4 linked regions of the Styela clava genome follow. The protein of the gene in region 3 purifies or fractionates together with the protein of the main gene of each other region. This does not show direct contact. Links are inferred from orthologs where the notes say so. Each region holds a gene or a part of one and is shown on either strand. Other genes may lie near its edges. The genes, in order: threonylcarbamoyladenosine tRNA methylthiotransferase-like, DNA polymerase epsilon catalytic subunit A-like, MMS19 nucleotide excision repair protein homolog and cytosolic iron-sulfur assembly component 2B-like.

Evidence for each region.
Region 1: the proteins of MMS19 nucleotide excision repair protein homolog (region 3) and threonylcarbamoyladenosine tRNA methylthiotransferase-like purify together in Homo sapiens (affinity purification with mass spectrometry; 4 studies listed by BioGRID and IntAct, counting the BioPlex papers as one, with this or other methods). This does not show direct contact. The link is inferred for Styela clava from reciprocal best matches to the Homo sapiens genes MMS19 and CDKAL1.
Region 2: the proteins of MMS19 nucleotide excision repair protein homolog (region 3) and DNA polymerase epsilon catalytic subunit A-like purify together in Homo sapiens (affinity purification with western blotting; 3 studies listed by BioGRID and IntAct, with this or other methods). This does not show direct contact. The link is inferred for Styela clava from reciprocal best matches to the Homo sapiens genes MMS19 and POLE.
Region 4: the proteins of MMS19 nucleotide excision repair protein homolog (region 3) and cytosolic iron-sulfur assembly component 2B-like purify together in Homo sapiens (affinity purification with western blotting; 11 studies listed by BioGRID and IntAct, counting the BioPlex papers as one, with this or other methods). This does not show direct contact. The link is inferred for Styela clava from reciprocal best matches to the Homo sapiens genes MMS19 and CIAO2B.

The regions. Positions count from the first base shown.
Region 1 is NC_135262.1:13,444,179-13,452,287, forward strand, and holds the start of threonylcarbamoyladenosine tRNA methylthiotransferase-like, read left to right. Parts: upstream 1-4,949; 5' UTR 4,950-5,104; coding exon 5,105-5,268; intron 5,269-7,076; coding exon 7,077-7,189; intron 7,190-7,898; coding exon 7,899-7,983; intron 7,984-8,109. Other genes in the region: uncharacterized protein LOC120332139, read right to left, coding at 2,260-2,445, 3,708-4,216. UniProt on the Homo sapiens protein: Catalyzes the methylthiolation of N6-threonylcarbamoyladenosine (t(6)A), leading to the formation of 2-methylthio-N6-threonylcarbamoyladenosine (ms(2)t(6)A) at position 37 in tRNAs that read codons beginning with adenine.
Region 2 is NC_135254.1:1,499,174-1,506,869, reverse strand, and holds the start of DNA polymerase epsilon catalytic subunit A-like, read right to left. Parts: upstream 3,067-7,696; 5' UTR 2,885-3,066; coding exon 2,811-2,884; intron 1,698-2,810; coding exon 1,535-1,697; intron 302-1,534; coding exon 1-301. UniProt on the Homo sapiens protein: Catalytic component of the DNA polymerase epsilon complex. Participates in chromosomal DNA replication.
Region 3 is NC_135262.1:13,141,806-13,149,402, reverse strand, and holds the start of MMS19 nucleotide excision repair protein homolog, read right to left. Parts: upstream 3,067-7,597; 5' UTR 2,996-3,066; coding exon 671-2,995; intron 191-670; coding exon 1-190. Other genes in the region: uncharacterized protein LOC120332922, read right to left, coding at 6,551-6,736, 6,810-7,033, 7,104-7,364. UniProt on the Homo sapiens protein: Key component of the cytosolic iron-sulfur protein assembly (CIA) complex, a multiprotein complex that mediates the incorporation of iron-sulfur cluster into apoproteins specifically involved in DNA metabolism and genomic integrity.
Region 4 is NC_135255.1:15,933,724-15,940,326, reverse strand, and holds cytosolic iron-sulfur assembly component 2B-like, read left to right. Parts: upstream 1-4,438; 5' UTR 4,439-4,477; coding exon 4,478-4,948; 3' UTR 4,949-5,860; downstream 5,861-6,603. Other genes in the region: organic solute transporter subunit alpha-like, read left to right, coding at 5,952-6,006, 6,238-6,380.

The sequences.
Region 1 (8,109 bases), about 300 kb from region 3:
CAGGCTCCCTCTAAGAAAGAGTCATTGACGTAATAGTTACCACACATTCGCTAGTAAAGAATATTATTCCAAAGTTCAAAGACATGATATGTCTTGTCTGTATTATGTTGAAACTAAGATATAAATACATGACAACAGTCAATAATCAAATTGCGTAGCAATATTATTAGTCATTGTCGAATAATAAATATTAACTACTTGATAACACCCAAGTTGGCTAGTTTTGTATGTAGCACATAGCTATAAAACTGTGTTTTAAAGTGATTCTCCATGGAGATGGAGAGCTAAAATCATATTCATTAACAATAAAATGGTAATTGGTTTTATAGTTTTTTTTTACACTATTTGGCAGCTGTGAACACTGTGATTATATATTATACAGTTTGCTGACGTAGGACATTCTCAAGGTTAAAATATGATTATATGTGACCCACGCAAGATCTGGCATTGTTAAATAAACCATGAATGAATCATGGACGAACACATGAAAAAGGAAATTATAATAATTACGCCTTATCACAAGAAACCAGCCTAATTTGCGTCATTCAGTTAATAAATGTATTTAATTACTGTTATTAAATTAATAATGTAAACACCAAACTAAACGATTTATTGTAGTTTACGATAGACATACAAGACATTAGAAATTTGCCGCCAGTAATCGGAAGAATTTGTCAAAAAATTGACAGATTACAATTAAACAAACATGTTTTGTCATATAAATACGAGTGTACGCCCATCAAAACATACCCATAAATATTTAAACAGTATTATATTATTAGATTGCAACAACGTTTAATCAATGTGACATTTATATGTAAGTAAAGATAGAGGGTAGAATTATATACAATTATACATTAATAATACAACGGGTCAGAGTTATAATATTACAAATTGCCACATATTCGAACAGGATTTTTATATTCATCCCAGGAGATACACAAGATAAGACAGCTTAATTAATCATATGGCGAACCCTGGTGTGAAATATTAAAATATTTATTTCTTACATCTTTAGAAAAACATTCTTGGCAGAACCTGAAACAATTTGACACTTCAGGTAAAAACCGATAGCAGCTATTCAACAATTTCATTGAGAAGGCCAATATCTGAATAGTTTAGTATACTGGTTCTCAACAAGTGGGCCATTGCCCACTGCTGGGCCACAGTAACATATGGGTTGATGGGCCATAAACCTTTTTTTGCTACTGAGTGGTAATTTTCATTTCAACTATTAAAGTGGAAAAGTTCATTTTTTGGAAAGAATTTTTTGTTTTCCTTGTAGTTTTCTACTTTCATGAGAAAGTTGATTGGCGCAGAATTTTTGTGCAACTAAAATGGGCCACAAGAGAAAAAAGATTGAGAACCACTGGTTTGGTATTTATTAAAAATCCCATCTCTGGTATTCATTTTGTTTCCAAATAGTATAAACAGATACCTTTCACCCAAAAATGAATCATATTTTATCACAAAAAGTCATTTGAACAAATAATTTTGTGAAAATTTTACACTACTGTATAACATCTAACAGCTTGTGGCACAACTAATCCAGTGATCAGTATATTCAAAAACATTGTCAAATGATCTGAATATTAAGATTAAATTGATAATAAGTTTGAATCTCAGGATCGAGTCCAATGCCAACCACATCACCCAGGGTGTAATACAGGGGTCGGCAACCTACGGCTCGCGGAGTAATATATTCCGGCCCGCGACGCTTCACTAAATTATAGTAACAAAGCAGCTGTTTTGACGATTATATTCTTTACGTAACAGAATTTATTGTGAGACATGTGTAGACTAATATATATTATTACCTATATATACATAAAGTACGGTATATATACATAATTCACAATTACTCGTTTAATTAACCTATAGTTTAATTATAATTAGACAAATGGCAACAAAACACAAAGGGTTCAATAACGCCGAAAATATAAGAGCAAATTGTTTTGGAATACAATTAGGCAATAAATCTATATTTTATTCGAGAGACGTATCATTGCTTGATTTTTATTATAAAAAGTGTCATCGGTTCGGTTTTCAACTTTCGGCCCGCCAATGACTTGCAACAATTAATTTTGGCCTGCGAGCGACAAAAGGTTGCCGACCCCTGGTGTAATAAATCGGGCAATGGCAATGCCGAATCGTGAAAATTCAGAGTACAGGTAGCTCATTACACTAAGTGCCTGCTTGCGAGGAGCCTTGTTTGGAGCGGAAAGCGTCAAAATAATTAGTATGTCTACAAATTCAAACCTTGAAATGGATTCACAGCTTCCACAGTGAGGAGATTTATCTGATTGCGAAGAATTTGACAGCGGTCTTTGCCGACGATGATAATGCTGCTGACGGGAATCTCCAATCTTCAATTTAGAAAAGATATCTTCGACAAAATTTTGCGCATATGAATCGTGTGAATCATCAATGCTGCTCCTATGAATTCTGAATAATATATAATATTATTTTTAAAAAAAATTTTGAAGAAAAATTCCAGAACAAAGTCTACTTTTTCTCAAAACGAGTCAAATTATATTAGTATCTATTCAGTTGATTCTGATTGTATATTGCAAAGAAATGATGCAGAAATCAACATTTTATGCAGAATAACTAATAATAGGATGTGAAAAAATATTTTCAAAATTTAATTTAAATTGTGATTATTCAAGTTAATCAAATACATACGGAAAGCTTCAAATACAGTACAATATAACTCACTTTCTATTAATTGGGGGATGGAAAACCACGTCATGTTGCACAGGCACCAGTAAAGAAATAGTTATTCAGTTAGCCTACTCGTTTTCAGATAAATGGACTTGGAAGTGGAGGAAACCATAATCAGCCAGCGGTTATGTTAAAACCCTATGACAGGATTGTGCAACATTTTCGTCGGTGGGCCATATAACCATCTTTAGACATCTAGCCGAGCCACACAAAAAATTTTAATGTTTGATGGGAAAAATCTGAGTGTTGACAAGAGCCACACTAAATGAGTGAAAGTGGTGACTCCTTTACGGCCCATGGGCCGGGGCCACGGCCCATCGAATTGGGCCTCGGCCCATCAGGCTATGGGCCGCGGCCCATCAAGTTGTGTAACGGGACTATTCACCTGGCTAACACAGACAGTCCCCGAACTAATAATAGAACTATAATGTGAAAAATCTGAACTAAATTTTGTCCTAACCCTAACCTGGTACACATACTACAGGAGTGTTCTTTTCTGTATTTTAGTATTTTGCTTAATTTTTATATAAAGGCTTATCGTAAAAAAAAATTTGGCGGCATCCCGCGATTTTTTTTGGTTCGAATATTGACAATTTTGTGAAAATTGAGAATTTTGGTAAGATGATTGAATTTTTTCTGATAGGGCCGCGGCCCATAGCTTGATGGGCCACGGCCCATGTGGCCCAATGAGATGGGACGCGGCCCCGGCCCACGGGCCGTAGAGGAGTCACCACCCCTGTAGCACTAAATGGCTTGGCAAGCCAGGCTGTGGCTCTCGAGCCACCTGTTGCACACCCCTGTCCTGTGACATTGAGGAGTCCGACAATCCTCTAAAACATAATTATCATTTGAAAATTAACCCCCGACCGATTAAAACTCATATAAAGTAATAAGAACTTTTATGGCAAGTATGTTCATAATGATTGACACGATGTGACGAACAGCGAGCTCATTCAACAGTAATACTCGAAACATTAACTGACCTGATACAGAGTTGAGGAGAAAACTTGTTTTTTCCATTGTCACAGTTTTCTTTTTCAAATTCACTTATTCCACAATTAATGATTGCACTTGCTTCATTATTAGCCCATTCCTCAAACTTTTGTTGTTTTGCAATTTTACGAAGTTCGACTCTTGATGAAGCAAATATTTCTTCAGTTAAATTGGTACATTCTTTAAATGTCTCAAGAGAACTGGATATAAGATGTTTTGAAAATTTATCAGCCCACGGCAAAAGGTGATGAACCAACGCATGGTGTTCTGTGTATTTCTCTAACGCTTCACAAAGCACATAACCGAAAAACTTTTGAGTGAAATTGTCATAAGTTCCAGCGAGACGAATAGCTGCTTTTGTTATATCTTCACACCATACTGAAATGGCATCTTCTCGTCTCATGTCACTGAAGGCTTGCAAAACAACCTTCTCCGCACATGAGTCGGAGTATTGCAAAATATTTCCATGAAAAGGCAACATAATTACTATTTGAGCCATGAGCGTTAAATTAAATCTGCTATTTATAAGTTTCTACGTCATAATAAAAAGTTCTATGTGAAAATGTAAAAGAAAATGTTCATTTTGATTACACTATATTCCGATATATAAAATAAACGATTCCTTCTTTAATTTAATAGGCAATGTATATTCAAATTTAATTCATTTATTAATTTATTGACATAGTTTATTTTGATATCTCTGACAAAACTGCAAAAGCACACAAAAATATGCATAAACCGTATCAAGGTAGATTATACAGAATTTTGGGCCCACAAGTTTTCGGACTACGATGGCACACAAGAATAAGATGGTATTATAAAAATGCAACTGAATTTTTGCGACATGTAAACCTGCACAATACGATACCGGTATCGTTGAAAATGACATTGATTACCGGTATGTGACTTCTCGTTTTCAAGTTAGTGAGTCACAACAAACAGCAAAATTCACATTGCAGCCTTGAGTACTATACTTTTTAGGAAACATTGTCTGAATTCGATACCGGTACCGGTTACACCTAAGTTAACTAATTCAAAGCATTCCTTACTTTCGGTGATAACAAAAAATTACCAGATTGGCTATAACTAGTATAGATGAACCAACGACTACGGTAACATACTGACATACGAGATGAACTCTGCCGTTCTGCATTCACTAACAAAAGCCAATCCGCCGACTAATTTTCGTTCGCTGACGTAAAAAGTGACCAAAATAATCCTGTGAACGATGGCGAATCTACGGTGACATCTAACGAGGAGACGGGAAGGGTTATTATATGTGTTTTCCATTTGCCGTGTTAGTTGTAACAGCGTGGTTTTTCTTTCCCGTGGTGTCAGACATCGGACTTCTTCTTTACTGATAAACTAATGTTTACAAAAGTGTACAATGGTGATTTGCAGCGACAATAATGTACTTGAGGACATAGAAGATGTTTCCCCAGATACCAGCCGCCTGTACGCTAATAAATCCAAGGTTGTTCCTAAAATTACAAATCATCGACTGAAAATTGAAAAATCAAATGCTGAAAGGATTGAAAATTTAAATGGAAGGTTAGTTGAAAATTTATTCGAATTGCTTCAATCCCACAATGTGGAAATAGCATTCCATAGGCTACAGGAGTGGTGACTCTTCTACGGCCCATGGGCCGGGGCCACGGCCCATCTAATTTGGCCACATTAGAAAAAATTCAATTATCCTACCAAATTTTTACAAAATTGTCAATATTCGAACCGAAAAAAATCGCGAGATGCCACCAAATTTTTTTCTTACGATAAGCCTTTATATAAAAATAAAGCAAAATACCAAGCAACAGAAAAAAATACTCCTGTAGTATGTGTACTAAGTTAGGGTTAGGACAAATTTTTCTCAGGTTTTTCACATTATAGTACATTATATTATGAGTTCGGGGACTGACTGTGTTAACCAAGTGAATAGTCCCTTTACACAACTTGATGGGCCGCGGCCCATGGGCCGTAGAGGAGTCACCACTTCCACTCTCCATAGGGCCCTAGGGACCAAATTAAAATGTGAAATGATTGCTCTGTTTTGGAGGCGCAGTTCTTACCACTTCATGGCAGCTCCTGTCACGAACGAACCGCGGCAGCTCTTGCCATGGTTTTATAGCGCTATTCAGTATTCAGTAATCAGTATTAACGGTATATTCACAAATTAATGTACCAGACTTTAATTGATCATGTGGAATTATATCTACTTAAACTCTAACCCTAACCCCAAATCCATCAAAACTGTATCCATAAGAAAAACGTTCCAACTTACCCAATATTTGTCACCATAAGGGACAGCCGTGTCTTTACGGCCCACCTGCCGTGGTTACGGCAGCAAAATTTTACCTGCCATTGGTTTTCAATTTGCTGCCGCGGTAACGGCAGCTCGACATTGGTTTGTGGCAGCTAAAATGTCAGTCGCCATAGAATTGGCCGTAGCGGCCATGGTATGGAAATACCGCCATGGTTTTGCGGCAGCTGCAGACGCCACAGAATACTTAAAACTGCACTTGCTGTTTTGGTTCAGATTTAAGCCACTACCGTATAAGATTATTATTTATTAGAGTGTAAATAACATTAATAAATGCTGTAATTAAAAATTGAAATATAAAATAGTGTTTCACATTCATTCAAATAATAGATACAACATTATTACAGCGATATTCACTAAAAATAAAATTCTGGGAATCTTTTATATTCACATTGTATCTGTCACAAACCGAAGAAATAAATAGACTTATATTTTTCGCTGCACTTTATAAGACTGTATAACGGAGTATGAACATATTTTTGTTGACTATATAAATATACTTCTTAGCGCATGGGTGTGCAACAAGTGGGCCACAACCAGTTGTGGGATTCAAATTTTTTGTCAGCCGCTTCTTTCATGAAACCCGTATTTTTCAGCTGGTTCTGTTACAAACAGAACATTGACAGTAATAGGGGTGAAAATACATGAACGTGAAATGTTTATTGCTCTTGTCGCTGCATTAAATCTTTCTCCTTTTTGCCAAGTGCGTTTATTGGCACAAGGCTGAGCAATAGGTGCCTTTTCTTCTCTTGCCTTTCCCGCATGGAAAAACTAAATTTTATGTGCGGCGCGGCTAGATGTCTGAAGTTGATTATGTTATGGCCCATCAACAAAAAATGTTGCACACCCCTGTCTTAGTGTACATGAATCTGATGCCCACTACCTCACCAGCATGCTATAAGTTGGGTAGAGAATGACAAATTCAAAACATTTCGGTTTTTCAAAATTATATTAGTTTCTCACACAGGCTTCTTGTGCAGAGCCTTGTTCACAGAAAATAATAAATATGTCGTATCAAAAATTTAAAATATTCTCTTTGCAGCATCATTCCTGGCACCCAGAGAATTTACATGCAAACATGGGGTTGTTCTCATAATTCTTCAGACTCTGAATACATGGCTGGACAACTTGCAGCATTCGGATATCAAATATCAGGTATCAAGTAGAATTGAAAACTTGAAAACTGTTTTAAATAAAGTTTGTTCGCAGTTCACAACTTGGACAAGAGTAGACCTATATCTTGTTTTAAGAACAATTTTGATACATAAGATTAAGAAGTTTATTTGTGTATCCAATTTGTTCGCTTATTGGACACAAAAGTGGACCTATGTATCGTTTTCTTAAATCATTGTTGTTGTAGCTGGTTGATTGTTTTTGCAGAAAAAACTTTTCAGGGTAAATAATGAACAAATCAATTTAAAATCGTCAGTAGGCTACTTGAAGATAAAAAGAAGTCGCTAGAAGAATATTATTTTTATTGTTTCCAATTTCCTCTGAGTTCCATGGAACCCCATGTTACGCCTAATATTTTGCACTTTTTATTCACTTGTGCTGACCACCTCCGCCACACTTGTCCACCAATTTTTTCCGTAAATTAGATTCTTCTGCTTATCAGGTCTTGAGGTACGGTACCAATACGCAACCTTCGTGTCCATTTGTATATTGCTCTCTACTTTTTAAAATAATTGTTTCCCTGATTAAGGAATCTCTTAATCACTAGTTACAAATTATTTTTTTGATGTTTTTGTCTATTATATCTGTAGTTTTGTTATCAAATGAATGGATGTAATTCACGGATATTTTTATAAGCATCTTCGAATGCTAGTTCTATTTTGTATTTATGAATATAACCTAATATTTTCAGATGATTGTCAGAATTCTGATTTATGGCTTCTAAATAGTTGTACAGTGAAAAATCCAGCTGAAGATCATTTCAGAAATATGATCAAGTAAGATTAATAATAATAACAATATTTTAAAAAGACACAATTTTTACCACTGCTTTAAAACAGTTCTTCAATGCATCTAATAATAAAAGCTCAATCCTGACAAGAAGTCTTTGTTTAATATGAGCT
Region 2 (7,696 bases), on a different chromosome or scaffold from region 3:
TTTCAACATACGCAGAATGTCCTTTTTCACGCTGTTTGTTACGGTTCACCGCCCGTTGGATAATTTGCCTCACGCTTGATAAATCGTCGACGTGCATGAATGATAATTTTAAATACGTCTGCTTTAATCCAACTAAATGATTCTGTAGATCCAAATCTTCTTTTTTCTTAATTTCGATGGAAAAAATTTTCGGGAATTTTCGCTGCAGAAATGAAATGACTTCTTTTTCTGTCCCACGTTTTGTCAAAACGTAAAAATATGGCTTGAAAGGAACAGAGACTTTGAATCGTTCACCGTCATCCTGTTAAATAAAATTTGAGAGATTCAATACAAGAAGAGGCCAAATAGGAGTGTATTCACTCATTACACCGCCCCCACCCCTGAAGCCTCAACCGACAATGAAAAATTATACATTATGCATACACGGAACCAATTATACATTGAGGTATTAATTTTATGAAAATCATTACAATTCAAATTAATATGCTTTAAAGCAGGGGTGTGCAACAGGCGGCCCGCGGGCCACAACCCGGCCCGCCAAGACAATAAGTGGGGCCCTTGTCAACACTCAGATATTTTCCCACTAAGCATCAAATTCTAACCTGACAGTTCATGTTTAAAAAAGCGCACACAGGGGTTAAAATCCATAAATTTGAGTCTTTCGTCTTTTTGCCTTTATTACTGAAGACTGAGCGATATAGCCTTTTTGTGGTGAGAAATTTTTAATTCATTATGTACCCGAAAGATATTGAATTTTTTGAATGGCCCGGCTAGATGTCAGAAGTTGGTTATATGGCCCCCGACAAAAAATGTTGCACACTCCTGCTTTAAAGGTATGTCACCTGCACAAAAAAAGCTTATAATATACTGCTACAATAAGGGTTGAGATAAAATATAAAATATTAAAATTTTGGAAATATTTTGAATGAAAACAACACAAAAAAAAGCTTCATTTTGAGCTAGTTGGTCATTTTTGAGAAGTGATATTCACAAAAGAATTTTAGTAAAAAGTTGTTTAAAAGCCAAAATGTACATTTTCCTCATTTTCTCAAAAAAACTTTAGTAAGTTTCGCCCTTTTGAATTAAAGCACTCAATTAGTTTAATCTTTGAGTATGATAAAAGATTTAAAATTTTGATTATCCAGTGGTCTGGGCTCCAAAAATATGGAAGTGAAAAACATATCACAGGCCAGTGTTAAAATGAAGAGTGCGTTGGTATCTTGAACAAAATAACTGCACAAGTGCTCTGGCTGATATTAACAAGTAAGGTGACTTAGCTTTTATTTAAACAGTCAGCGATTAGGGGTTGTTTGAAATGAGACATCAAACGAAGAGAGGCGAACAAAAACCAACTCTGGAATTTTTTTAACATTATTTCGCTATTAATAACATGCAATTTATAAACACAAAAACACCACTTGAAATAGCAAATTGCATCCTATTATTAAGGGCACTACTTTCATTGAAGCAAAAAAAAACTCCCCTTCTGCTCCCCAACAACTTAGAAACCACTGGTTCATAATATATATCTTACCTGTAAGAAATAGAAATCCACTGCACTGATCATTTTCTTATCTTCATCCAAGATATCTGCTTCACACATGTTTATCAGCCATCCCAGCTTCTCACACGGAAGAGATAATTTCTTATAGCCATATCTCTCGTCCATCTCTTCAGATAATTTCGCTTGTTCCAGTCTGGGAATAGAAGCAAAAGTCACACGCAAAGTCAGCGAATTGCTAACCTCATGTAGAGAAATTGGCCTCTCAGGCGGGCGGTACTGAAATGCCAATATCGCCGTTATTTCTTGACCGTTTCTTGCAAACTTGGTATTGTTTTGTTTATTTCGACTAAGAAATATCTACTGGCGCAGTAATTACTCAAATCAAACAAATTTTAAATTTTTTGTAATATATATAGCGTTATGAACTAGGAGGATTGATTTACATTATCCTACAAATCTGAATCGGGCCAAATGCCCCCATTCCAGAGATGAGTAGTGTGCTTGTTTCATTGTTTTAATACCGAGTCTAACGAAGTACACATTGCAAGTGCTTAAATGACGCTAAACAAAAATATGATGTGAAAATACAATATGGCACACTATCCGAATGCCCTGTCAATAAAACAAAAACTTCATGTGTCTCACAAACGAGGGGCGTCTGCTACGATGGCAGATGAGTCATATTGCGCCATGCTTGCCTCAATGATAATCTAAATTAATCGCAGACGTAACGTGACCAAATCTGCCGCTTTTTGCTCCAAACTCTCAAATGCCACGGTAGAAAATTTTTTACTTTGGTAAATCGGATTATTTTTTACCGGAGGAATTGATGACGTTTTCAGATTGCGATTCTTTGTAGTTTGTGCACAACTTCATTTTACTGTATTTTTACGGATTATGAGTGTCCAGACGTCCCCCGAAGAAGGGGTCTCTGATCATCTGCAAAATGGGTTTCTCTGAAACGAGACAATGTCGCTCGATCTGTATAGTGTGCTGTACTGAAATAAATGCTGGAGCTGCTCAAACCTCAAGTTTTTTTTATTGTTTTCTGCAATGGAATGCTACACCCTGTTTGGCATAGAATGAATATACCAGCTTTATTGAGTAGATTTTATTCAAACTGAAAACGTCTTGTCAATAATTTCATTCCATGCTAGACAGACTTTTTGAAAACATCAAAATTTAACATCACATTTCTGATTGCTTACATCAAATTTTCAGTTTGGTGTTATTTCAAGGAGTTATGACGTTTACTTCGCTAGGCCCTAAATACTTCGAAATCTTTGAATGATTGAAAGAAACAAACCTTTTTGCGGCACCATCTTCGTTTTTAGACCAGTCTTTCTCCTTCACTAATTTTCCGGTGTTTTGTAGCGGCATTTTGGTCAGTTAAAGCTATTTCAACCTATATTTTTCACTACCAATTCACATCCTATAATACACTTATCGTGTATTAACTCTTAGAACAAGCTATTACTGTATTAATGGTAAATAATAACCATTAGCGGCTTTCCTAACTAATAAAACGAAAAGCCAAAACCGCTACGAAAAAAGCGGGAAACCAGGAACAGCGGGAGAAGACTAAAAATATAAACGATTATTGTTCCTACACGGAAAATAATATTTGGAAAAATGGAGCGAGAAATGTTAAATTTCAAAATAGACCTAACGAAATTTATTAAAAAGATTGAGGCATATCTATAATTTCAAAAACATTTTTTTATTGTCTTAAGCAAACTAAAAATCCCGGAAGACCAAATTACCACTGAGTCATAGCTAAATTTGGGAAATATTGCCAGCATCACCGCGAAAACGAGCGCATTTCCACATCCGTGCTCACAAACCGTGTTGCCGGTTGACCCGCGTTTAATTTTTAATTAGTCGTCCAAATGCATACCGAATCTGAATTTATTTTCTATTCGAATTATTCTATCGCTACCTTCTACCGGTATGTTTCAACAGCAAGAGGGATATATAAAGGGGAAAGAAAATATAGAGTTGAACCATATATTTACGGTTAAACCAACCCCGTGTACCTCCGGAAATTTGGTCCCGATGTTGAATTCGCCGTCACGCTCGACTTAATGCTGACAGATTATTGCTTCGAAAACCATCGTGCGACGTTCTGCGTTTTTCTGTGCTCTGACGAGCTGTCTCGCGTCAAGATTAAGTGAGTGACTTATAAATATTCAAGTTAGTTGTGCACATGGAATATTACACGATATACTTGACTATAGAACTCATAGAATGCAGATAACAAAACAATGACAACAATTTTATGATTACCGGTACTGTTATTGATTAATAGTATTTACAATAATTTGGACGTTATTTGGCTTGTTGTGGCTTCTATTTGATGAGTGAAGCAGGTCTAGCCCACCTCTTCATACATCCAACTTGGCAATTCTGATTGGGCAATTTGGCATTAGGTGACTCCAATTATAATCAGCTTGACGATATCTTTTGAGTAATACTTTTCTATCCACAATACATTACTCTTGTTGACTAATTCGGTATCCAATTTGGCAATCCTCATAAAATTATTAATTTGGTGTGGCAAAAGAATTTATTCATTTTTTTTTTTTATTTGTTCGTATATTTTCCTTTCTTTTTACTTTTAAGTCTCGCTTTTTTCGCTTCCGACAGTATCATGTCTCGATGATTGTGTGTGTGCGTGCGTGCCTTAATTAGTTTTTTTTACTTTTGGGAGCGAACACGTACTACTTCTTTTTTCAATACCTTTCCATCTAAAATCTGTACGTTTCAAACCTTACTCTAGGTTTTGTTCGCTTTCCCGATTCTATAATCAGTTACTTTTACTTTTGTTTTTATCTATTTTTTTATCGTCTATTGCTGATTATGGAGTCGAAATAAACTTATACTTATACTTATTATAAAATAGAAGAACAATCAATTGAGTGGGAAGGCGTTAGGACCGGTCCAGCACTCGAAAGCACATTGACGGTAAGATTTTAAATTCACTTTAAAGCTCCCATGAGTAGATGTAGTAGAGAGCCGCTTTGTGCTACGAATGTTCAGCATAAAAGGAGTAAGTTGTAAATGTTTTTATTGGTACCCAATACAGTAATGATTTGTCAAGTCAGTAAATTTTGATATGAGATATGTATATTTTCAGGAAGGAAAGGATTATAAAAAAAGTTACAGTGTGAGGATTTATGCTGTGTGATCAAAGCAGTGAGCAAGAATATAAATTGAATGATGAGTGATGCTTTATCTCAAAAATCAGAATTAGCTTACACTATATCAATGAAAATTTTTGGTGGAGCAACTAAAACTGTCAGCAAAAAAAAGAAATGTGGTGAGCGATACCACCCTGAAATTGTGACGTCCGTATGAAAAACATAGATTAAACACACATATTTTAACTTCAACTAATAAGTGTTTTATGATGGAGTTCCACCGATCTTGATAACTTTTTTCCATTCTGTCATTGTATACGAAGTCACCAGCTGCATATTACAACATAAGAGGTATTTTACGTTTGCCATGATAATCCATATTGCTTGATTTCAGGCTGGTACTAATAACTTTTTTCACATAAATTGGATAACTATTATTGCTATTATCTAAACATGGCCTCAACATAGATATATTTATAATTTTGGATGTGCCAAAAAATTTTGAATTAGTTTGTCGAGTATTTTTAAGGAATTGATTTGTGATCAATAGCAATAACTTTTTTGCGACTGCAAAATCCATCACGTTCATTGAATGCATTAATATTTCTCCTGGAACCGTTATAATTGATTAATTTTAATTTGTTTTGTGGGGTATTCGCATTTTTGTTTCAAATAATACCTTGTCTAAGTGGCTGTTATACTTATATATATAAACACATACATGTTTAGATGGTAGACAAGGTTCAATTGTTGTGGGCAATTTATTTCAAAATACCGTAACTAAAATAAAAAAAATTGCAGACGTCTCGAAACTCATTTTTGAAGAATGATTTGCTGTCACCAGATGGGGTTTTGGCATGGAAACACATCTAGAGGGAATTTATGAAGATATGTCTAAAAAACATTTGAAACAGCCATGTAAACTAACAGACCAACATGTGAGAGAGATTCATTGCTACAAAACAATGTCAACACTATTATAAACATAATACAATAACGAAAAAAATTTCAGCTGTAATGACAGTGATTAATTATTGCTTTGTGCGGATCGGTGTGCAAGACCGATTAAAGTCATCTAGGCTCCCTTGTTTATATGCTGTATATAAGACTATCATGGCATAAAATAGTACCGTAGGTGGATGCAAGCGAGAATAAATATAAATATATAAAATATACATAAGATAAAGAAATGAGTCGACAATTCAATGGTATTATGGAAGTTATTATTAAGGGCAATTTAGGATTTTGAGAGGTCATGTATTGGTTGGAGCCGGACATGTCCAATGGAAAGATTTTTGCAAAAAGCATTTTTTTTTATTGGGCATTAACCGGGATAAAAATGGAATAATAGGGACGAGAAATAAGTACATCACAGATTCAGCATTATAGCAAGCACGTGAAGTAAAAGTATCATTTCCCACCTCAATGAGTTCACGAGAAAAGTACAGGGAAAAAAAATTGTAATAAGCACTGAATATTGTATCGTTGCTACCAACATTCATATCTATACATGTTTAACTCAATGGCTTGATAAAAATGTCTGTTAAATATTAAGCACAGGTATAGCACAAAGAATTGTTTTGGATAATAATTCATTTGTATTTTCTTATTAGATCTATTTCCTATTGAGCATTTAAATTTGGAGACAAAAGACTGCAGTAGATTAGCCAAAATTTCATAAATTTTTTTTTCACACTGAAAGTCTACAACAGGTGATTAGCTCAAGAATTTTTTAACAAAATAAATGCTATACGGCTACATGCAACACATTCTGTAGTGATATTTAAAAATCAACAACATTTCATTGCTTCTCCAGCATATGAAGGGCTTCAAATGCTGGTACCTTCAACATGTGATATACCATATTAGACCAAACATCTGTCAGACCCCCCTTTAAGTGTGAGATAGTAGTCTTCAAATTGTTCAAATACTATATCATACATATAAATTTTTCGTGGCGTGAAACACCTCTTAGAGTTAGACCATCGGGACTATTATAAACCCCGACCCCCCCCTCTTCAAAATCTTCAGCTATGCCTCACCCTATACATTGAATGAATCGACAACAGATTTTCAGTTTAAAAGATGCATATTTTGCAGGTCGCGGGGCAGGGAATCCATCGGTGCTCCAGTTGATTGAAAAGCAGCAAAGAAAAAGAAATATGTAGCAATGTCCACGTGATAGAACCTAAATTGCGTTTTTACTCCAGCTAAGAACCACTACCAAAGCCTTAAAAAGCATCAATACCACTATTAATATAACTTGATATTCAGTATTTATTCACATTAGTAATTAAAATAATAATTTTTATTCCTATGGATTATTGAGAAAAAAACTTGGGTACTCCAGAAATACGTGTACCAAGATGACGGACAACGGAACATAGTATGTGTACCTGGTTAGGCCATACTTTTAGGTACAAATACTACGAAACTCACTTGGTTAGTCCCTGAACTCGTAATAGAACTAAAATAAGGACATTTTGGCCTAACCCTAACGTGGTACACATATTACGTTCCGGTGTCCTCCTTTCTTGGTACGCATATTTCAGGAGTACGGAAACTTGACTGTAATCACATATATCTTAATCTTCGTTCTAGCTGCTGTGTTTCTTCAATTGGTTTCGTATTTCATGTGTCCTATTTGATATCTTGTTGTTATTATTTTGGCTGCAGTACTTGCGTATACATTTGCTCAGATCTTTTGAATACTTTCTCAAGTAGTGTTGTTACATCTTGACATTCAGTTACATTGTTTAATAGGTATTCGCTCATGAATGATTTGAAAATATTTTTCTTTTATATCAAGTGTCGGATGTTCAATGATGTGATGATGGAAATAAATTTAAGCTGATTGCATGTGTTGAGATAGCCTTTGTATAATCATTGACTCGGTCTTACTACTTACTGAATACAGCGCGAAACACCGCAAAGAGCGCAAAACAGAGGGAAACAGCGCAAAACAGTGTGGAAACAGCGCAAAACAGAGGGAAACAGTGTGAAGCAGAAAAAAATTTTGCAATGAGTTCGGGGCACCTTGTTTTGAGTTGGA
Region 3 (7,597 bases):
AACTGTCAGCTGCCATTTTCCCCCATTTTTCGGTGGCAAATAGTTGGAAAAGGATGTCTGCATATCTCATAGTGTAGGAATGAGAACGAATAACAAGAGCTTTCGTCACCCAAACGATCAAACTTAAAATTGCAACTTTGCTTTCGACCAAAACGGAATCGTCAAATAAACAATCACTGATTTGAAGCACCTGGTACAATAATTTTAGTTTATTAACCATTGTTCATCACTTAGGATAGAATTTGCATATTTATCCCGGGGTGAGGAAAGTCGATAAGACGGCTTAACCATAGGGCAAACCACAGCCTCTTGTACGGTCAGCAGTTCATGTCTAGTATAGGACTAGTTAGCCAGTTACTTGTTTTCGGAAGCATGAAATTGATGGTGGAGGAAGACGTAACCGGCCTGCGGTTACATGAACCACCTTACGGAGTCCAGCAATCCCCCGTTACATAACCATCCCGCATGGGATTCAGACTTGTGAACCCACGCTTAGCATGATGCGTCACACCACGAAGCCACTTATTACTGCAAACGCTTATTCATTATGTGATATTAAGTTATATTGTTTTGTTTGATTTTAAGATGTTCATCTATAAAACATCAATTTTTACCCAACGACAAAAAATTGTAATGTTCCGAGATAATTTTAAAAAATATTTTATCAAACCTTGTCAAGAAATGCTGTAGATGGCTCTTTTTGTTTGTTGATGATGCCAGCAATACATTTTGAAGCGGAAGCATATGATGGTTGATCAATTGTCTCTCCACAAAGATGAAGCAGTTTTTCCAGGAATGTGTCAGGGGATGGAAATAAAACTTTGTTATGGAATGCACAAATCGTCGCTGTTAGGATAGAAATCAACCTTGTCTGCAGTGGTAACTTAGTGAATAAAAATGGGTTGAACGTAGATTTGTCTATTTTGATATCAAGAGAGACCAGATCACAATCCAGAAATATTTTTTTCAGATTTACACAAATGTTATCTGCGATTTTTCCAGGCTCTAATTGTTGACAAATTGTTCTTAAAATTTCACAAGCTTTTTGCATGATTGGCCACGTAATACAATTACTAGAAAAACTCTGAAGATCGCTGCATGTAGAGCAGCATTGTTCGGGGAGAGACGGTACAACAGATAATTTGACGCAAGTCTCAATCAGAGGAAATACAAGTACATTTGCAAAATGATCCACTGTGCTTTTATCTTTGACGTTTCCTTTCACAATAACATACAATGAATCCAAGCAAGCGAGTATCGTTGAGACATTTTTCTCATCCACGTTTCTTGACAAAACTTGTTCCATAAGCAAATCGCATGTTATAGATGTTACTTCAATACGAGTCGAAATACTGCATATTGTTGAAAGACATTTAGTTTTGTCTTGCTGATTTATGGAAAATATTCCTGTTAGAGAGATTTTTAAAACTGGTAGTAAATGTGCTATAGCGACATCAGGCCATTTTGAGGATAAAAATCCACATGTCATGTGTAAATCGTTAAGAATTGCTGTATCTTTTTCATTATTTAAACAGTTAATCAGGCTATGAACAATTGTGATCTGTTCCGAAGGAGTTATTAGTAATCCCAAATTACATAATGCGGCAACGCCAGCAAGCGCAATGGTACGTAAATGTACAAATTCATTCAGAGAAAGTCGACCGCAGAAAAGTTCAATTAGATCATTTTTGTGCTCGGACAAAGGGTGCGAACCCATGTCATCCTTGAATTCATGCAATGAAGTAGACTTAACAGCATTTACAAGAACTTCCATTGCCAACCGTTTTTCCGCGATCATCATATCTTTTTTATCTTGTGATTTTAACAAAACTGGAACCATGGAAGACACAATAATTTCGCAAGATCGCTTAGAAGCTTCGGAACATGAAATCATAAGTTTAGATGATGACCAAGCCATTACCTCTTGCAAATGGTCAACTAAATGAGGTAAACACGACACTTTTACATCTTCTAAAAATACATCTAACTCTGATTTTTTCGATACTTCTACAGGTGCTTTGGACAAAACGAGAACAATTCTTTTAAGCAGATCATGGCATGCTTCTTCAATTTCTTTAGAATTGGATGACAGCACTTCTTTTCGGATGCAAATCCAGAGAGATTTTACATGTGATTTGATATCTTCACTAGAATAAACATTCATGCAAGATTTTAACGTCAGGATTGCATCAATTTTAGCACTTTGAACATCTGATTCCAGTTTTTCTATCATCAATGGAATACAAAACGGAGCAAATAACAGAGAAGACGTTAAAACTCTCCGCAAACCAATGACAAGCTCTTTATTCGTAATAACAACTTTATTTTCGGATAGATCTGAGGGGGGATGAAAGTCTATTGGAAAATAACAACCAACAACTTCGAAAAATTCTTCAGCAAATTTTGACAGATCGAAGCCAGACCGAACAACTGAATACAAAAGATCGAAAACTTTCAACAAATTCCTTGGATCTTGCTCACCATCAACTGCTGTAATTACACCATATACAAATTCATCACCTAAATTTCTCACTTCAGTCGTAGAATGTTCTAATAGATTGGCTAAGAGTTCATACACATTGCGTCTATCAGATTGCATGCAGGATGGAACATGCACTTCCTTGAACAAGATTTTTATAATAGATTCAGCTGCACCTACTTGAAGATCACCACGAGAACTTAAAGCTACAAGACATTTTAATGTGGGAGATTGAAGGGAAAAATGATCTTGTAAACGTTGACATAAAAACTCAATAATAACTGCGGATTCTTTCGATTTTAAACAGCTTGGATGTAGGTCTGATAGCACAGCTGCAAGTAAGTTGACTGGCTTCAATCTCACATCTACATCTGTACTGGTTAAATCATGATGCAATGTTTCCATAAGTTGAAGAATACTTCCTGAGCCAGTTGAAATTGCCAATATAATATCTTTCACTAAAGAATCCTTCTCATTTTCATCATCCTTTAAATATTTTTGTACAAGTTCTTCCATGATTCATATGATCAGAGCAGTGAACAATGTAATATTTTTATTTATATTGATCAGTATATATATCTTGATGTTGACTAGTTTGAATATAAAAATTTAATTGTTATAAATAATATTACCAGAAGAATCGTATGTACATTCAGACATTGGCATAGTGCTGTAGTGCGATTTACCAAGGCTTGTAGGTTAGAAATCAACTTTACTTTTAGCCCCATAATATCTGGAACAGCAGTGCCAACAATATTCACACTACTGCACTATAGCTGGTTTAAAACTTTAGATTTGTGCCCTTGCATTTTATTTTTTTTGTTAAATTGAATTCCAGGGATAAAATAGAATTGTAATAAAAAAGCATCCAAGTGTAAGTCAAACTTCTGAACTTTCAATAATTAATTTAGTACCGTACGGTACGGTACCGTACCGGTACGGTACCTATTTTGGAAAACAATCACATGTACTCTATACCGGTACTGATTAATTAGACAAAGAATTTGTAACCATGTACGGTACCGGTACAGACTGACAGATGGGGTCTGGTATAGTTTAGCATCCACTTCTAGTTGGCCTGGCTCAACAATTTTTGCATATGTCAATCCTATCCACCACCTGACTACGTCACCGAAAAATTACGTCATTCCGACGTCACAGTGGCGTAAAAGGCCCACCGAAGTATGCGGATGGTCGTCCAAAACGCGCAGACGATAACCCGAAATCGAGCAAGCTATTTCTCTCGTTTTCTCGTCGCAACGATCACGATAGGATAGAGATCGCCGGCCAGAACTTTTAAACTCCCCGTCCTTCCCATTTTCATTGCTTGATAAGGTCATTTCACACGGCAGGACGGTGTTTTTACTTTGTTGAGCATGAATTATTTGTCCATATTACTGAAATAAGGATTTGGAATCTACCAATCAAAATACTGAAATACCAATCTGACAATATAGCCTAATAAATACGAGGCCCATGAGTGCTCAAAGCCTAAAAACGGGTGTAATAACTTCTAAAAAGATGATAAATTAGTTGAAGATAGCCAAATAAAATGCTGAACATGAAAGAAGCAACATGGGCATTGGGAGCAACGAGTGAATCCGATGGATGTTTTCTCGACCCTTGACCCCATGAAAATTCTCTCTACACTTTACTATTTTAAAATTTCGGATGCTTTTTTTGCTAGTGTTTTGGAGAGTTGGTATTTACATTTAAGTTACATAATTGAAACCATAATTTGTATCAAAATATACGATCAGGTGCCGCTAACAGGTACTGATAGCTAATTTTAACATGGTCTAATTTTTGATTCTTGCAACTAAACTGAAGATCACCGGGAGACATAATGACAATTAAGTTACCTCATTCACAAGAGCCAAAGTTTACACAACCATGCTTGAACTGATGGATCATTCATGATAAATTTAAACTGACACCAGTGATCGACAACCTCTTATATATTATTTGCCTATAATCCACGTCCTTTAAAAACCTTACTTGAACCTTTAAAAATCTATATATTCACATAACTTACTTTCGTTCCTCAGTATCATACTCAGGCCACTTTTAATTGGGCCACCCTGTAAATTCGATGGCGCATAGTCTACTATAGTTTACTAAAGATCAGTTGATGCGCCTACAAGGTAACACAATATAATTGAATTATTTGAACTTTAATAATATTTCTTTGCCTATAATCCACGACTATAAAAAACCTTACGTGAACCTTTAATAACCTATACATTCCCATTCCCAGGTTGGGTATGTGATTAGTTAGCCAGTTATTCGTTTTCGGAAGCATGGACTTGGTGGTGGAGGAAGCCGTAACCGTGAACCACCCTACGGCGGCGAGGAGTCCAGCAATCCTCTCGCACATGATCATCCCCGCATGGAATTCAAACCTGCGATCCCACGAAGCGTAATCAGAGATGCGGTGGCGAGCGTATTCCTAACGCTTAGCCGATGCGCCACACCGCCGAGCCACTGTTCGTCTTTGTGCAGGATACGGTACTCTATGCTTTTCGGTGAATTGATGATAATATATTTCGTCTTGTTCTACGTGTCCGTATATTTGAGCATAGCTCTCTTGTTTTGTAAGCATGTGTTTGAAAAGAAAGCTGACGAATTCAAATAGATTTTCAATTGTATGTGGGAGAAAAAGTATCACAAATGCTTGCTTGATATGTCGGTGATAAAAGAATATAATTTTAAAGCGGCATTTTAGAATCTTGTGAGTAATGGCATTTTACAAAGTTAAGATTTGGTTCGAAAATTTTATCGAGGTTTGAAAGCACTTGCATTTGCGGAAGCACTTTTCTCGTTATGAAGAGTCTGAAATCTTACACTATATATAGGAAGACTTTTGCAGGTTTTAGCTTGATAAATGACAAATACTGATCAATGTGTGTTGCACAATAAAATTGTTTGCTGTGCACCGTTCACTTATTCTTGATATTATTGTGGCCCGCGAACAATGCAAAAATGATTTTGTGGCCCTCGGAGCGGACAACCTTGGACCACCCTGGTCTAAAGCAACGATGGGCAAACCGCGGCTCGCGAGAGTTTTTATGTGGCCCTTCTCGCTAGAATTTATTATTATCCAAATGTAGTGTAACAATTTTTTTAATTTATCAGGCAGTAGAAGAAATTTTCATCAATGATTAAGACAAATTATGTTTTAGTATGAAAATCGTTGTGGCATGGAATTTTAAATCAGTAAAAAAAATATTGCCGATGTTGTCGCAGTCAACAGCCCAAACGCAGGTTTCGCGTCGCACTATACACAAAGGCACATTCCCAAATCAGTATCAATGTAACGTTAACAGTTACAATGCAAAATGATTTAATGAGCTCTAATATTGATAATTTTGAAAATTGTGCGGCTCTCACATATTTCGGACTTGCTACATACGGCTCTTATGTCCGCGGGTGCGAAATTATACAGGTGCAAAAGTCTTGTGCAGTTTACGGGTGCAATGCAGATGTGCTGTCACCTTATAAGACTTGTAAAATATATTGCCTATATGTCCAATGTTTGTTAGCATTTTGGTATATCTGAATTAAAATAACTGAAACTCGTATTAAACAAACTTTGTGTTTTAAAATAGAGAGACACACAGAAAAAATGTAGGAAGTACTGTACTGCTACATTAAATAAAATGAGTCATTTGAACCTTTCTTGCGAGGACGATAAAGCATGGCACCGGTTTTATTTCAAAAGAACGAGGTTGTTTTAATAATATAGTGAAAGTGATTTGGTATAGAGTAAACTCGTTGTTTTGTTTTTAGGCTTACGCACTCTGTAACATGGAGCGCAAAGATACTAGTTTTCACCCAATGTTTTGCTAATATAAACTCTACTTGCGACAAAAAACGTTTCATGCAGTTTTTCAGTGCTGTTTTAGGTATTCTAATAAAACAGAAGCAATAAGAAGAAAATTGTTTTACAAAAGACCCCACGTTATCGAAAATATTCTGGTATCACTTCTACGATTTTTAATCATTGAGTTATTCGGAATTGAAATTTGATATACAAAATCATCACTTGAACAGAAAACTGTCATGCAGTTTCTAATTTGGATAAGAGCAAACTATCCCATACATTCTATGGTTCGGCGGTCTATTACTCATTGCTGATTCTATCTTTTGGGAATGATAAACTAGCACAATGACATTTGTCCACTCGGTATAACTGTTGGGTGGAGTTGATAATTCATTTTTCCACTGGATGTATGTGTTCTTCGGGACATCGTACTCCTAAATGAGATAAGATGAAAATGTTGATACGGTCACGCTATAAGAAATTATGAATGATGAAAACGACACCTACGATTGGATTTATCTCCACTGCGATCCAAAATGCATAATGATTTATTTCGGGTGAAGGTATTTTGTATCGGAAGTATTCTGTTACATTCTGGAAAGTCTCATTGTTTGGAAATGTCGAGAGAGTTGAATTTCGGTCTTCGCAATACTGTTGTGCTTCTGTAAAATTTATCCGGTGTTCCAAGATTCTTCCCCAGTAACAAGTTCCGTTAAATTGAAGTTCGCAACCTAAATTGAAAAACAAAATATTTTCTATTTTGAATATACCAATTTTTTGTTAGTTTCCATTTTCACGTACTTGTGCTTGGAAAAGATGCATTAGCGTCTGTTACTTCTGATGTCATATTGGATTTCGACGTTGAAACTTCTTCATTACTTTTTGTAGAAGTTGCTGAAACAACTGGGGTGACTGTGCTTGAAGTTGTGTCGAGGACTTCGGTTGTGGGCGTAAAATGTGGAACATTCCCAGTATTTATGTTTGTTGAAATAACAACGTTAACTTCCAACTGATTTCGGGGCAGGAGCTCTTCCAGCTTCTCCGACAGTTGTTCTTTTAGTTCTGTTGCAAAATGAATTAATGGCGACAGGGCATAATATTATATGACAATAAGAAGATGAGAGCTGTGTACAAATTCACGAGAAATCTAGCTAAATGCGCATATTGAATTAAATACTTACTAACTTTCGATTTTCAATGGAGTATAATATGACTTTTAATTAACGCCAGTGTTTTGTCAAGGAAAGAAAAATATAAACAAAACAGAAACTTTCGGTTTTCAGCGGAGTATAATA
Region 4 (6,603 bases), on a different chromosome or scaffold from region 3:
ATAAGACAGCTAATTTTTATGTTCTATCATAACAAATAAGCCATTTAATCTGATTCTCCACTGTATACCCAAGCTAATGCTATTTTGGCACTACCCAACCCGCTTCCCACCCTTACATATTTACAACATCACCTAATTCATTTCTTACCCCTCACATGTGGAGGTCTACACTCAACCCGCCTCATGGTGCCCCTCAATCTCTCACCCAACCCACCTCCCAGCGTCTATTATGTCTCACCCTACCCGCTTGCCTACACCCAACCCACTTTCTGGTGTCCCATCCGAGATGCCCGCCTACACCCAACCCGCTTCCTAGCGTCTCCCTACGTCTGACCATACCTGCCTATAACTAACCCGCCTTCCAGAGTCTCCATACGTCTGCCCATACCATCAATGCGTCACCTACCTAAGTCCGGCCAACTTGCTAACATGCCCCCATGTCTGATGATAGCTGCCTTCTTGTCCTATCAGCCCCCTCCTAGCTTTTTTGTGATTTATATCTGGTCGAATTATGCCAACGAAGTTAGACGGCGTCAACGTAGGGAAGCAATAAATTATATTTGTCTACATCTAACAATAAGTGCAACTTTTTTGATATCCGAATACCATAACTAGTAGCTTAAAAATACCATTATAACGATTACATTTAACCGGCCGACGGCAGTTCAACGTTCAAATATAATTCTACCCACAATTTCGACCAGGTTTACGAGCTACAGCAAGGCTGGAGAGAACCACCGTTACGGCCAACAAGTCAATAAATCTGCCAAGATTTATATGCCCCACACCCCACCGATGAATGTTAGCATAGATTTAAAAATTACCATCTGGCGACCCAAGGGATGTTATGAAACGGAAACCACAGGAGTGGAACGTAACTGTATGAACGTATGAAACTGATACTGGTCCGAGACGGTTCGTGAAAGCGGCATCTCGGGTAAAATCACTGCAATCGTTTTTAGCGTACTTAAGTTTCTGTTTTCTTAACACAGGCAACCATTATCAAAGCATTCAGATATGTTCGACTGCATTCAAAAATTGTTAATTTAGTTATATTAAAAAATCGGTACTCCCGAAGTATGTGAACTAAGATGGCGGACACCAGAACATAGTAGCCTACGTGTACCAGGTTAGGTTTAGGCCATAATTTTATCCCAATTTTAGTGCTATTACGAGTTCGCGGAATAGCAAAGTGACACCCGTAGTATTATTACGTGAAATTATGGCCTAACCCTAACCTGGTACGCATACTGGGTTAGGCCTACGGTGTCCGCTATTCGGGAGTACCAAAAGTACAATTTTGAATGTATTGACAACGTTACAGATAACAAGTAGGTAACGATAATAAAACTTTTAAAATCGAGTAAGGGAGGGAAAGCGAACACGTACCATTTCTTTTGACAACATCTTTTAATCTAAAATCTGTACGTTTTGAACTTAACTTAATAAGGTTGTGTTCGCTTTCCTTATTCTGTAATCAGTTTTATTCATTTTTTTTTTCATCTTTGTTTTATCGTCTCTTATGCTGTTTTTGAGGTCAAAATAAACTTATATTTTTATACGCGTCTTCTTACTTGATTGTACTTTCCCAATTAATGTAGCATGATTGTTGCATGCTATTAATAATAACTAAATGCCATAATTGTTGTCGAATATGACCGCAGCGGCAAAAGTGACAGAGGGACTAAAACTGGCGAACAACACGCAAAACTACCAAAAGAGGGAACGTTTACAACCGTGTTTGAATATCTGTCTGATCCACGGCATAAATTCCAACTGTCACTTCATTGTTAACGTATTGTTGATTTGTAATTGTTACGGAAATAAACAAGGAAATCGATGCCCGGGGAAACATCCTTTAGCTCTACAGCAGGGGTCGGCAACCTCCGGCCCGCGAAGTAATATAATCCGGCCAGCGACACTTCACCCAATTATAGTAACAAAACAGTTGTTTTGGCGATTATATTCTTTACGTAACAGAATTTATTGTGAGACACGTGTAGACTAAATTATATTATAATCCAACAAGCATAAATTTACAATTACTCGTTTAATAATTTAATTACAATTAGACAAATGGCAACAAAACGCAGAAAAGTTCAAGCTAAGTGCAAAGGGTTCGATGGCGCCGAAAATATTCAATGGAATTTTTTGAGATGCAATGCAATGAGGAAATAAATCTATATTCTAGTGATGGATGCGTTCGTTCGGTTTCTAAAAATATGGGCTGCCCGACAATCACTTGCAACTCTAACTTTTTGTCCCCTGAGCGACAAAAGGTTGCCGACCCCTGCTCTACAGCTTAGGCCAGGGGTCACCAAACTTTTTTGACCGCGGGCCGGGTATGACTCAAACTGTGTTGAAACGGGCCGGATGAATATTCTTGTCAATGCAATATAATAAATTCACAAAAGTTGGGAAATCCATTCAACAATATATCTTCTACATTTCTGAAGACTTGATTCAAATTCTATGTATATCGCAGAATATAGATCAGGAACATCCTAGGAAAACAAATATGAAAGATTTCAATATCTAAACAACTATCCTGAGTTTAGCTGGTATCAAAACGTTTCTGTCGTGAATTAGGAATTTTCAAAATCCGCTTTTTCGCGCCAAAAAATATACGCATCACGTTTGCTAAGTACCGTTATGCAGTGTTAGAAAACCGCGTACCGGTAGAGAAATTTAGCCTATTATGTCACAGCTATTCCTAGACTAATTTTTCCTTACTACTATTAAAACTACAACTCCTAAGGACGCAAATGATGATTGACTTATTTGATTCATACTTAAATTTCCGAAACACAACCAAAAACTAACGAATAGCATTTAAAGTCGCAAAAACGAAATATTGTTTACAACCACGACTGAAAATCTATCAGGGTGAAAAAAGTGTCTGAGCGGAAGCGAAAAGAAATATTATTACGTCACGTTTTTGCATCTTGCAGATTGGCCAATGTTACGAATTAAACAAGGAAGACGATGCTCGGGAAAATCTCCCTTGGAAAAATATTTAGCAATGTTTGCGTGTTATTGCGGGCCGGACCGGCCCGCGGGCCGTAGTTTGGTGACCCCTGGCTTAGGCCTTTGGACAGGGCTGTGCAACCTTTTTCGTCTAGCGTGCCAAAATCGGTTAAATTTAATGACAACATTTTTCCGCCGCGTGCCGGCCAAGATTAAAAACAATGCTTTGCTACTTTCAAAGCAAAAATACACAATAATAAACTATTTAAACATGTACAGACAGATTAACTATTAGTGTAAGTATCTTCCCGACAAATAGATTTAATTACTTTTCTTATTCTATCTAAGTGAGACTTTTGCTGCTTCATTACCGCTGATAGAGATTTCACATTGGGTTTATATTTTGTAACTTTCAAAGAAATACACGAACTACTGGTTTCATCTTTCAGGCTACTCCTGTTGCGAGACTTAATAAGGTTTATAACTGAGAACAGAGATTCACAAGCATATGTCAGTATGTAGATGAAAACATGGAGAGTAGTGCAGTTGCAAAGTTTTTAAGACACGAAAAATTCGCGAATGGCATCCCGATTTCCGCACTTCTCTCTTGTATTCGCTTCCCTTATCGCTTATATATATTTCTTTCAAAATTAATTTATAACAGTAACTATACCCGATATGAGCTGTACAACTTCACAAATCAAGCAGAAATGACGAAAAAGGGCGACACATAATGAACTATATTACGTGAGAATATAGCCAGGTGAACCCTGCGCCCCAAGGCCTCGCTCGCGTGCCGAATAAATGCACTCGCGTGCCAAGTTTGGCACGCGTGCCAGGGGTTGCCCACCCCTGCCTTAGTATTATACCTTCCGATTATACACCCACTACAGCACTAGAAGTACTTTAGGTACGAAACTACACTAGACCCGAAAATAATGTGGTTCTGTTATTTTAATAATTTTTACATAATACTGTCGGATAGGACAGTAGGATCTACATATTTATCCCGGGGGTGAGCCGGTGAGGAAAGACAGTACGACTGCTTAAACCAGTCATTTGTTTTCAGATGAATACACTTAATTCTGCCAAGAATTTTAACCTTTTCGCCTCGCCGCACACAAAGGTCAAATTCTACTAGCTTCACAGCGGTGATACCGAGGAGTCGAGCAATCCTCGCGTACATAGTAACCCCGCATAAGATTCAAACCTGCAAAGCCACGCATTGTAATCAGATGTGTGGTGCTGTGGTACCGGTATTCCTGTATTCCTAACGCTTATCATGGTGCACAACACTGTCGAGCCGCTGTAATATCTGAATTGAGCAGTACAGCAATACACAATGAGATAATTTATTCTGTACTCAGCCATGGGGATTAAGATTCTTTACTTAGTTCTTGGTTGTACTTGTATTTGCTACAAAAACACCATAATTTTACTGAAATGAAATTCCGTTAATGACATTCAAAATTTGTTTTCTCTATGTTATACAGTTATAACAGTAAAAAGCATGAACTTCTCATCTAAAGACAACGCTAATCCACTAGTTCATGAATCTCAGACTCCGAGATATCGGGAAGAAAACCAAGATGACGACATTCATGATGAAATCGATGCCAGAGAAATTTTTGATTTGATTCGTGATATCAATGATCCAGAGCATCCACTTACTTTGGAAGACTTGAGAGTTGTGAATGAAAAAGACATTTTTGTTGATGATAAAGCTAGTTCCGTCATTGTTTCATTTACTCCAACAATACCTCATTGCAGCATGGCTACATTAATTGGACTAGCAATCAGAGTACAACTTCTAAGAGCTTTACCTTCAAGGTTCAAAGTTGAAATAAAAATTGCGAAAGGAACACATCAATCAGAGACTGCAGTTAATAAACAACTAGCAGACAAAGAAAGAGTAGCGGCAGCTCTTGAAAACAATCATTTATTGGGTGTTGTTAATCAATGTTTGACCGTGAAAAACTAACAAAATAGTTGTTTAACAGAATTGTCTGACATTTCTTTCAATATGTATATACATATTTCATGCGTGTTGGAATGGGGAAGAAGTTGTTCCATGTTTTCGATTGTGCGGTGTATGTGTGGTGTGGAGCACTTTAGTATTTTTTTGGTTCGATGCATGGCGGATAACAACACCTCTTTTCCAGACCGTTGGAACGGGCAGAGGCATATTCATGTAAACACGTGAAAAACAACTTTGCAGAATAATTTTTTTTTTTTTTAATTGAACAGTTTTGACAGTTAATCCTGTGACTAAATATGATTGTAGAATTTTAGATCAAAATGTGTGAAACTGAATAGGTATCAAAGCATGACTGCCAATTTACCACCATGCTTCATTTTACATGTTTTATTAATTCAGCAGACAGGAAAAATTAAGCGACTGATGTAGTGGATATTTATGTTACTTGTATATTTTCCAGCAGTGAAACGGTCATAAAAGCTTTATGTAGTCTCATGGTCTTGTTTATGGTTGTCCATAAGAACACTTCTTCATTATCCTGCCGAACGTGTTTATACCATGATTTATATCTCTGATATTATTCTCACAAATGCAATGCCGTCGCCATGTTGCGGATTTTTTTGAGTCAAGTTTATGCAATTGCTTTTCAAGCTTTTGGTAGATAGATTTCAACAATAGTAGATCTATAATTGTAGTCACAATGCCATGCCAGTTATAATAACTGCTAGGTTACTCATAGCATATTAAAATTTACAAAATACTTTCACATAAAAGTGCTCATATGATGATGATGATTGCTGGTTTAAATGTAAACGAGTAATTTATTCAATACTTATTAATTTTTACCTTAATGAGGAACTTAAATAGTTCGTTAGTACTTCAAGCTAATATTATCTGTATATTTTTTTGCCTAGATTTGGAACTATACAATATGCTCATAACATAGCTGAAACATTGAGAATTATTAGCAGGACATAATGAATATAACCAACTCCTTTCACAAAAAATGTCAAACAATTGTTCAAATAATGTTAGTCCTAATATCACAACATTCTTCGCTCGTAAGTAGTGCTTTTTTATTTGTGTTCTGATTTTTTTACCATTCATAATGTGACGAATTTTAGTTACTTTGTCTCCTAAGATGAAATATTGATATTCAAATGTGAATATTTAGTTGAAGATGGGTATAAAAACATCTGTCTTATACTATTCTACTATATTCGATAATTTCAGAAAAGCAGGAATTTAAATTAAATTGCATGTATGTTAAAAAATTTATTTCTTTATTTCAGACATATCGACAGCCGAAGCAGTTGCAGTTTGTTTTGAAGGATTGACGACATTGCTTCTCATTTTCATATTCCTAAACGATTGTTTTCATTTTAAACGTGAATCATCAACCTCATCAAGACTGCAAAGTATTCTTATTATACAGGTACACTTCACGCCATAGATTGCTTGTTATATGTCAAAATAATATATGATTTACCGGTATTATGTATGTTTGTCTGTATTAAATTTGTGCATCATTAGCTGTGACCTAATATACACATAAAGGATATTTTGCTTAAAGAATAATTTTTGGTTAGCGACATAAATTGAGATTATAATTCTTAGATAAACTTTGACCTAACACCGCTCAGCTATACAATTCAAAA